Drosophila melanogaster: one gene and its partner. The protein of the gene in region 2 interacts with the protein of the main gene of each other region in a pairwise test. Each region holds a gene or a part of one and is shown on either strand. Other genes may lie near its edges.

The links. Proteins that work in one complex are often made in the same cells at the same time.
Region 1: the proteins of CG18011 (region 2) and Dlip1 interact in a two-hybrid assay, tested with the Drosophila melanogaster proteins (2 studies listed by BioGRID).

Annotation. Positions count from the first base shown.
Region 1 is NC_004354.4:9,156,718-9,159,917, reverse strand, and holds Dlip1 (dorsal interacting protein 1), read right to left. Parts: upstream 1,297-3,200; 5' UTR 1,242-1,296; coding exon 842-1,241; intron 782-841; coding exon 651-781; 3' UTR 543-650; downstream 1-542. Other genes in the region: NdufA3 (NADH:ubiquinone oxidoreductase subunit A3), read left to right, coding at 79-312; Ost48 (oligosaccharyltransferase 48kD subunit), read left to right, coding at 1,487-1,628, 1,703-2,910.
Region 2 is NT_033778.4:10,140,714-10,146,756, reverse strand, and holds CG18011 (uncharacterized protein), read right to left. Parts: upstream 4,420-6,043; 5' UTR 4,373-4,419; coding exon 3,619-4,372; intron 3,565-3,618; coding exon 3,409-3,564; intron 3,349-3,408; coding exon 3,087-3,348; intron 3,028-3,086; coding exon 2,875-3,027; intron 2,813-2,874; coding exon 2,669-2,812; intron 2,616-2,668; coding exon 2,480-2,615; intron 2,404-2,479; coding exon 1,948-2,403; intron 1,886-1,947; coding exon 1,699-1,885; intron 1,641-1,698; coding exon 1,408-1,640; intron 1,352-1,407; coding exon 875-1,351; 3' UTR 683-874; coding exon of another isoform or gene 596-682; 3' UTR 551-595; downstream 1-550. Other genes in the region: KCNQ potassium channel, read left to right, coding at 1-49, 314-528, 596-682; Or46a (odorant receptor 46a), read right to left, coding at 4,723-4,776, 4,838-5,938.

The DNA.
Region 1 (3,200 bases), on a different chromosome or scaffold from region 2:
TTGAATTTTTGGTAAATGCTTTATAATTTTATTTGCTGCGCCCAGTGAACTAATAGCCCCATCCCGCAGTGTACCAAGATGTCCGCATCCGCTGCCCGAGGCTCCACATCGCTGCTGAAGCGCGCCTGGAACGAGATTCCGGACATCGTCGGCGGATCCGCTTTGGCCCTCGCCGGAATCGTTATGGCCACCATCGGAGTGGCCAACTACTATGCCAAGGACGGCGATAACCGACGCTACAAGCTCGGCTACGTTGTCTACCGCCACGACGATCCGCGCGCCCTGAAGGTGCGCAACGACGAGGATGACTAGAGGAGTTGGACCCTTCGGAAAAATCCTGTCGGCTTTCATCTTTGATTTTTTTTTGTTTACTCTAAAGCTAAGTAAAACAAACATCCAAATGTACAAAAGCCAGTGTTCAGTGGTTCAACTATAGCGGGTAGTAGTTTTCCAGGTTTTTTTTGTGTTTCATACTTACACAAATGCACTCTATATCCCTACAATTGCAACGTTTTGGGTTTAAAAACTCAAAGAAGGCACTTGTATAAAGAGAAGGAATATATATATATATTCCTAATTTAAAATTAATTTCACAAAAGATTTATACACTTAAAACCAAATTACAAGTAAGGGAAAAAACAGACAGTTCTCTAAAGATCCTTGTGCGAGAACTTTAAGTGAAATTTGCAGGCCTTCTCCGTGTAAAAACATTCGCCGCAGAAGCCGCACTTGAAGGCCGGTCCGGAGTCGCTGCTGAACTCGTTGGTGGGAGTAGCAGCTGCTGGGGAAGATTGAGAAGTTTGAAATCTACCTAGCCTAGATAAGAAAATTGTACACCCACCTCTTTTGGTCGACACTGCTTCCGCCAGCACCGTGGGCAGTTGCTCATTCTTCGGTTCCACCGGATGAGTTTGGGTTTGCGTGTGCGACTGGGATTTGCTGGCCTGGCTGCGCCTTCGGCGCTGCTCGAACTTTAGGGCCACGTTGAACTCGCCGTGGGCGCCCAGCCACTGGTGGCTGAACTCGTAGGCCATCGACAGCTTCTTCACGCAGATGCGGCAGATCTGTTTGGGATAGTCGTCCTCTGGGTCCAGTGGCGGCAAGGAGGCGGGCAGGCAGGACGCTAGCATATCCGCAATGGGCACCATCTGGTCAAGCACTTGGGCACACTCATTGTAAATGGACAGCGATTCCAGGCATTCGTTTCCGCACGTGCGACAGAAGCTCTCGAATATGTCCATTATGGTTGTTGCTAAGGAATGTTATTCACAATCTAAAATTTGAATTAAAATGTTTTGTTTATAAATTGGCTAGTAAATGTAATCGATTATTAATCAAATCATCGATTTTTTATAATTTCTTGAATTCCTTCTGGTATATTTGTATATATTTTGGCACACCCTACCAGTATTCGGCCACACTGACAGCCAGTCATTTTTTTTTTTCAAGAAAAGCCGGAGAGAATTTTGTGTTTTAGTTGGATAAAATGATGTGGAAGGCTCTCCTGATCGCCGTTTTGGCGATTGCCCACTGCCAGGCGGTACTGGAAACGGACGCCAACACCTTGGTTCTGCTGGACAACCTGGCCATCCGGGAAACCCACTCGATCTTCTTCAAATCGCTGCAGGGTGAGTGAAAATGCCGGTTAACCTCTGACGTGGACAATGAAATGTGTTGATAATTGTTTAACTTTGGGCTACAGATCGCGGATTTAAGCTCACCTACAAACTGGCGGATGACTCCAGCCTGCTGCTGTCCAAATACGGTGAATATCTGTACAAGAACGTCATCATATTCGCACCAAGTGTCGAGGAATTCGGCGGCGATGTGAGCGTGGAGCGTTTGGCCCAGTTCGTCGACGATGGCGGCAATGTTCTGGTGGCGGGCAGCGAGAAATCCGGCGACGCGCTAAGGGAATTCGCCTCCGAGTGCGGCTTCGAGCTGGACGAGGAGAATGCGGCGGTCATTGACCATCTGCACTACGATGTTAGCGATGCTGGCGAGCACACAACCATCCTGACCTCCGCCAAGAATCTTATACAGGCCGACACCATTGTGGGCAAGGCCAACAGGCAGGCGGATGCCGCACCGCTGCTCTATCGCGGTACAGGACTGATTGCCGACAAGGAGAACCCGCTGGTACTCAAGCTGCTGACCGCCGAGAGCACCGCCTATAGCTACAATCCCGAGGCAAGTGTCTCCGACTATCCGCATGCCGTTGGCCGAGGCACGCTGCTAATCGCCGCCCTGCAGGCGAGGAACAATGCCCGCGTAGTGTTCTCCGGCTCGCTGCTCTTCTTCTCTGACGAGAGCTTCACAACGGCCGTGCAGTACGCACAGAGCGGTGTGTTCCACAAGCTGGCCGGTAATCGCGACGTGGCCGAGTCCATTAGCAAGTGGGTATTTGGAGAGACTGGCCGCTTGCGCGTGGCATCCGTGCAACATCACAAGGAGGGCGAGCTGCTGCCACCGGATCAGGCGTACACCATCACCGATCCGGTCGTCTACACCATCGGCATCGAGGAGCTGGTGCAGGGCGAGTGGCGCGCCTTTAAGGCCAGCGACATTCAACTGGAGTTCGTGCGCATCGATCCCTTCGTCCGCACCTATCTGAAGCAAACGAACACGGGCGCCTACCAGGCCAAATTCAAGATACCCGACGTCTACGGCGTTTATCAGTTCAAGGTGGACTACAATCGCGTGGGCTACACGCATCTGTACAGCACCACCCAGGTGTCGGTGCGTCCGCTGGAGCACACACAGTACGAGCGCTTTATCCCGAGCGCATTCCCCTACTACACCAGCGCCTTCTCAATGATGATCGGCGTGTTTGTCTTCTCATTCGTGTTCCTTCACTTCAAGGATGAGCCCGTGGGCAGGGCCGCCAAGGAGGACAAGAAGTCGCAGTAGTATGCACGTTCGTTCAACTCAAATGTAACACACAATGCACTAAAATAAAGTTCTCTGCAGAGAGAAACCCACAATCCATAAAAGAACTTGGCTTTTTTTTTGCTTAATGAAGCTTATATTTCATTAAAATTAGCAGAGTCCAACCCATTAAAACATATTCATTTTTAATCTTAGGTTGGAGTTAAAAAAATTTTAAAAAGTTATAAAAATGTAATTAGCAAAGAACAGAACCAAACTATTTGGCGGGCATGGTCTTGTCAGACAATCGAGTGTAATCGAATACAATCGAA
Region 2 (6,043 bases):
GCTGATTCCCTGGACAGCAGTGCAAAGCCAACGCCGCCAGATAGTTCAAGTAACTAAAAATTAGATCTATTCTATTTATAGTATTATTTTCGTAAAAGTTTTAGACTACTTGCCTAGCGAATGGGAACATAAATAAAACGTTAAATCATTATATTGGCTTTTTTTGTTTCTATATTTTTTTAATTTCCTTTTTATAACTATGAATTAAATGTATATCGACAGATTAGAGAATTCTTATTTTAAAAAATATGATACGTGTTGTGAAAGCATTTAAAAGTTAGATTATTCTAAACACAAACTATCTCCCATTTAGTTATATTAATCGATGAGTACGAGGACTTCGAGGAGGAGGATCTTAACTGTGAGGGTGAAATGGATCATTTCCCCACTTGGGAGATCGACAGTGATATTGGCGTAGAAGTCGATGTGGACGCGGATGCCGATGGCGACTGTGATGAGTCCACCGAGGACACGGCGCTGCTGCAGTGTGCCACGCGCACCGCCATTGTTATAACACCAATTAGCCCAGTAAGTCTTGGAAGATTTGTTTCATTTCGTTAAGAATCTTTTTAAAACAAGTTAATAACAATTTCAGGTAAGCTCCGCACACAATCTTCAGCAATTAAATGACCAAACTACAACGCTTAATAAATCAAATTTGCTTCCGCCAGACTCTGGCTAGTTAATTGCAATTGAAATTAGCTAAAGTAGCCATTACATTATCACTAGAATTATATATTATATACTATGGAATGCATATTAATGTCATTTTGGGACATCATTTGTGTTCAATTAATTGGTAGCAAACAAATGAAAATCAAACTAAATAAATCTGTTTTAGCAGCAAATCTTACATTACCGAAATGTACCAGCCTTAATTCTGTGTGTCCTCATCTGGTATCTCGTCAATAAAATCGTCCGCCTCCTCGTCATCATCTTCCATCACTATGTCATCCCCATCTGCTTCCTCTATAAACTCATTATTTTCATTTAGGCGGCGCTTTTTAGATGTGGATGGCGCATCATCGGTGATGTATTCGTCCTCCTCAACCACATCCTCCTGGAGCAAAATGATGCCATCGTGAATCTTTCGGACATGCACATTCAACTGGGAACTGTTTACAAAAGTCCGTCCACAGCCGCCGTCGAAATAGTCGCGGCACGTGTATTTATCACCATGGGCTCGCTGCATGTGCGTCTTCAATCCTTGACTGCGTCCAAACCTCTTTTTACACACGTTGCACTCGAACGCGAATCGCTTGTAGTGCTGACCAAGAACATGAACAGAAAGGGACTTTTTGTTCCTGGTGGTGAAACTGCACTGTTCGCAGCTGTAAGACTGCCCATGAAGCTGCAGGAAATATGCTATTAATATGAACCGTTTGTGGATCCGTCTACTGCACTGACCTTTTGATGAGCTTCCATTTCACTCTTGTGATAAAAGCCCTTTTGACAGACACTGCAGGAATAGCGCTTCTTATTCGAATGCACCACATTGACATGAGTGTCATAATTTCGTCGGTTTTTGACGATTTTAAAGCACTCAGGACACTCTATTGGTTCATGCCAATAGGCATGGTGCTTGGCCAGAGCATCATGGCTTTTGTACGAAGAATTGCATAACGGACAAGTGACGTTGTCTTAAATATAAAATTATTTATTAAAAGAAGAACATATTATAAAGCACACCATACTTACCATTGTTATGACTCCTTGCCACATGAACAGACAAGGACATCTTTGACCGGCATTCCTTTAAGCAAAACTGGCAAACCCATTCCTGGGCAGACTTTGAACTCTTCTCGGCCTGCTTGCTCGCGGATTCGTGTGTGCGCCGCTTGTGTGTGTACAAGGAGTTCCAGTTCACGTAAGACTCTGTGCAGTTCTGAAAGGAGAGGAAATAATGTTATGATCAAACGTTCTGTGACCAAACGCAGGACAACTCACTTCCTGGTCGCACATGTAGTAAACACATATTTCTAGCCTGCGATGTGTTGAGTCCGATCGAAGTTGTTGATAGTTGCGCAGGTGATGGCGATAAAGTTTCATATGTGGGAATTCTTTGCCGCAGGGCTGACACAAAAACACTCCATCTTTATGTACCCCGGAATCGCGATGGGCTTGAAGACAGTCCTTTTCCTTGAAGTACGAGGAACAGTACTCGCACACATAAGCATCCCGTAGGAGTTCCACGTCTATCTTCGAGCCAAAACAGGCTGTCTTCACGGAATTTACATGGGCTAGGAGGGTTTCGCGGCTATCACTTAATAGACCGCAGGTGCTGCACACGTGCACATCTTTTTCGATGATCAGATGCTTCTTCATGTGAATATTGTAAGTAGCTTCGGTGGCAAATTCCCGGGAACAAAGTTCACAGCTTATTACACTGCCGTGCATGGCTCTCTGAAAGAAGGATTTCAATTACTTCCTGTACCACAAAGCGTATTCGAAGGATTTGATGTTTAGATTCATGCCCTACCATGTGTCCATTTAGCCGGCCCCGCGACTCAAAGTTGGCCATACATTCGCTGCAAGAGTAGGTCGTGCTGCTAACATTGGCATGCGACTTATTGTGCTCCATAAAAACGGAGGGGTCCCGGAAAGTGCGGTCGCAACTAGGGGATAAATAATTAATATAAATGTCTTAACAAGCATTTGTAATACTAACAGGTCGCAGAATAAGGTGCCCACTGGCTCATGAGAATAATTTAAATGCTGAAAAAGTTCATCTATGTTCGTGGTGGCATAGTCACAGACGAAGCAAGCTCTTGGTCTGTGCTTTTCTAAGTGAAACTGGCTGTGGAAATTAAAACTGTAAAGAAATATAAGTATTATTAGTATTGGTTTGGTTAACTTTAGAGAGAATAAACATACCGCTTCCAGGAAGGAAACTCCAGCGAACACATTTCACAATAAGAGCGAAAACCTCGCTTCTTTTTTATTACATGCGCGCAAGAATGCTTGTTGTACTGCAGAATGTTGGAGAACGTCAATTTACATTCCGGACAGCTGCCGTAGATCGGAATTCTAGGTAATACAAGCATCATATATATTACACAAATATTTCCTTTAGTAAATATAATTACTCAGCCACTGGCGCGTGCAACAAAACAAGATGCATGGCTAGGAATTTGCGACCTTTCAACTCCTTGTTGCATCCTTCGATGGGACACTCGTAGACATCTCTCCGGCTTTTGTGTGCCTTTGACAAGTGACTAAAAAGGCTCTCGAATGTGGGACATTTCAGAGAGCAGTGCTTGCACACAGTGCACCACTGAAATGTCAGCTTTTCAAAGCTCGTCTTCACCACGGTGGCCAAGTACTCCGGAATATTATCAACTTCATCCTCTGTAAATGTAAAGATATGTAGAATTGTGATTGCCTTTTAGTTTTTGATATTATACCCACTCTCTTTGATGTCCACAAAGTTAAACAGAACAACATTGCTAGTCTCTCCCTCGTCGATGTCATCATCGCTTTGACTTTCCTCAGCTTGAGCTACCAATCTAGACGAACAACTTATGGGTTTTACCTTAACATTGTCCAAATTTGGATCCATAACATCTAGAACAATTTAAGTGTTACTTAATGGACGGAAAAGGTAAAATTAAAACAAACCCTCATGCTCGTATATGTAAACATTCTCATCCGGATTGGTGTCTGTCACAGCCTCGCTGTTTAGGATGACTATTTGGCCAGGGGCTTCTGTTTCCTCTGTGACCTGGACAGCTTCACTGGACTCCTCTTTCACTGCGGTCTCATCCTCAACAACAGCTTCCTCTTCGTCCAGAATATTTTGTATAAGCACACTAAAATGTTCCTGATCTGCTACTTTAGAAACCAGTTTTGGCTCACTTTTGGAAACAGCATCTTCGGTGGAAGGCGTCTCTGGTGGCTCTGGAGATCTAGATGTATCAGGCGTTACATTGGAAGCAGCAGCCGCTCTATTCCTTATCCGGGCACTCGGTTCCCGGGTGGGAATAATGGGCACTGGTCGCAGAACCTTAGTCAGGGGCCTTGAAGGCACTGTTTTCTTGGCTGGTTTCGCAGCTGGTGGAGTTGCCTGGACCTCGGTAATAATAATGGGGTCCTCCTCTGCCTTGGAATCTTTGCCCTGGGCCGCATCCTTCGCAGCTTCCCGTTCTCTTTCCAGTTCATCGATGTCAAAGAGGCGAATGAGATTGGTGACACACACTTCGCACAGGAGTTGCTGCTTCTGCGGATCGGGCGACACTTCGAGCTGGTAATGCCTGGACAGCAGGGACTGCAGTCCCAGTTCGATTCCAAACTCATCGAAGATCTCCTGGTACTGGTATTTCGTACTGAATACGCTGCAATGCAGGCAGCTATTGTTTTTCGCGTTTTCCGACATCTTAATCTTTGTCCGTCAGCAAATTGTAGGCGTTATGGCATTTCTGGTTTGTTTTTTAGTGTTACCTTTCCGTACCAGCAGCTGTCTGGTATTTTCCGCAGTGTGACTGTCTTGCGCAGATTTCTAAAACCGTTACCACGATTTGAAAATAGTGTGAAAATAAATAGGCATAAAAAGTAAATAAAAGATTTAGGAAACCCCAAGGAAAGAAGACACAATTAGTTTTTCGAACTATATAATAAGCAACTGCTAATTTCTACACAATAATTTCATTTAATGTACGTGCATAACGTTTTGAGTGCTTTTAAAAATCGGCTTGAAAATCTTTAGGTGCTGCGGTGTTTCGAAATTTAACTGTTGACGCGCTTCAGCAGTGCGAAGTAGCTGTAGGAGCAGTTGACGATCTGAAAGGAGAAGAGCATAACCAGTAATAAATGATATATAAAGGAATTTCTGCTGCCCTACAGAACCAAAGGCCTCCAAGCTGAAAGCAAAGGTGGGGTTAAAGGTGCTCAGGAGCATCGGGGAATTAAAGCGCTGCATCATGAGAAGGACAATCCGGCGGTTTGCCCTGTTCCATCCCGTCCATTGGGAGCTGTAGATGCTGTGACACAACCTAGAGCTCTGGACAGTTACCTCGTTGGAGGCGTAGCAAATGATGAAGATCTGCCAGAGCATCACCAGCTGATAGATACAGGTCTTGAGCATAAAGATGGCATCGCCGTTTGCAATGGACATGGTGGACATGTCGTACAGGTTGGACACCAGCACCAGAACAGAACACATGAGCTGCACAGATCCTGGCCCCTTTATGAACAGCTCCACCAGGTCCTTGAAACGAACAATCCTGTTGTAGTAGGCGGCACACTCACGCAGTTCCATTGCGATTTTCTCATTATCCTGGGGTTCGATCACAGGACCCAACTTTTCTAATCGCAGGACCAGCATTTGTAGCTGAACCTTCAAGAAACAGAGCAACGAGTAGGCCACCGAGTCGTAGGTTATATTCAGCACACAAGTGGGCAGCAGGCAAATCGAGTGGAAAAGGTACTGCGACCAATAGCAGATCCATCCCTCGATGCTGCATACCTCCAACATGGCCAGTGGTAGCTCGCCAAAGTTGTCGAAACAGGGAACTATAAGGATCAGGGAAGCCGCGCCCAGGGACATGATGCCGTAGGAGTTCCTCATGCGGACAACCGCCACTCTATCCAATTCCAGCATCTGCATTTCCTGTTCACTTTTAACGCCGAACTCTGGGGACAACATCGCATCAACCAAGCCAGCGAGTTTGCGGCTCTTCAACTTCAAATGCAATAATTTGGCCATGCAGGATATTTCCGTGGCGAACATGAAGAATACCTTTAGGATCTCCCTAACTTGGGAAATGTTGTTCAACATTTCGAAGGAGAAAAGCAGCAGCATGATGAACAGGATGACCAGGATGAAGCCAAACCTCATGGACTGAAAACGACGCTGGTGGTCTGCGGCCCAAGTGGGGAGCTGCCAAACACCAAGGATTTGGAAGTACCACACCTGGTACTTATAAAAGTCCTCCGTAACCATCTGATGCTGAGACATGCTGACAATTTTCACTTTTCCATCATGAACCGCACGAGGAAAGCCTTTTATAGGCCACGAACTTAAATTCGCTAATGAGCCTCATTATGG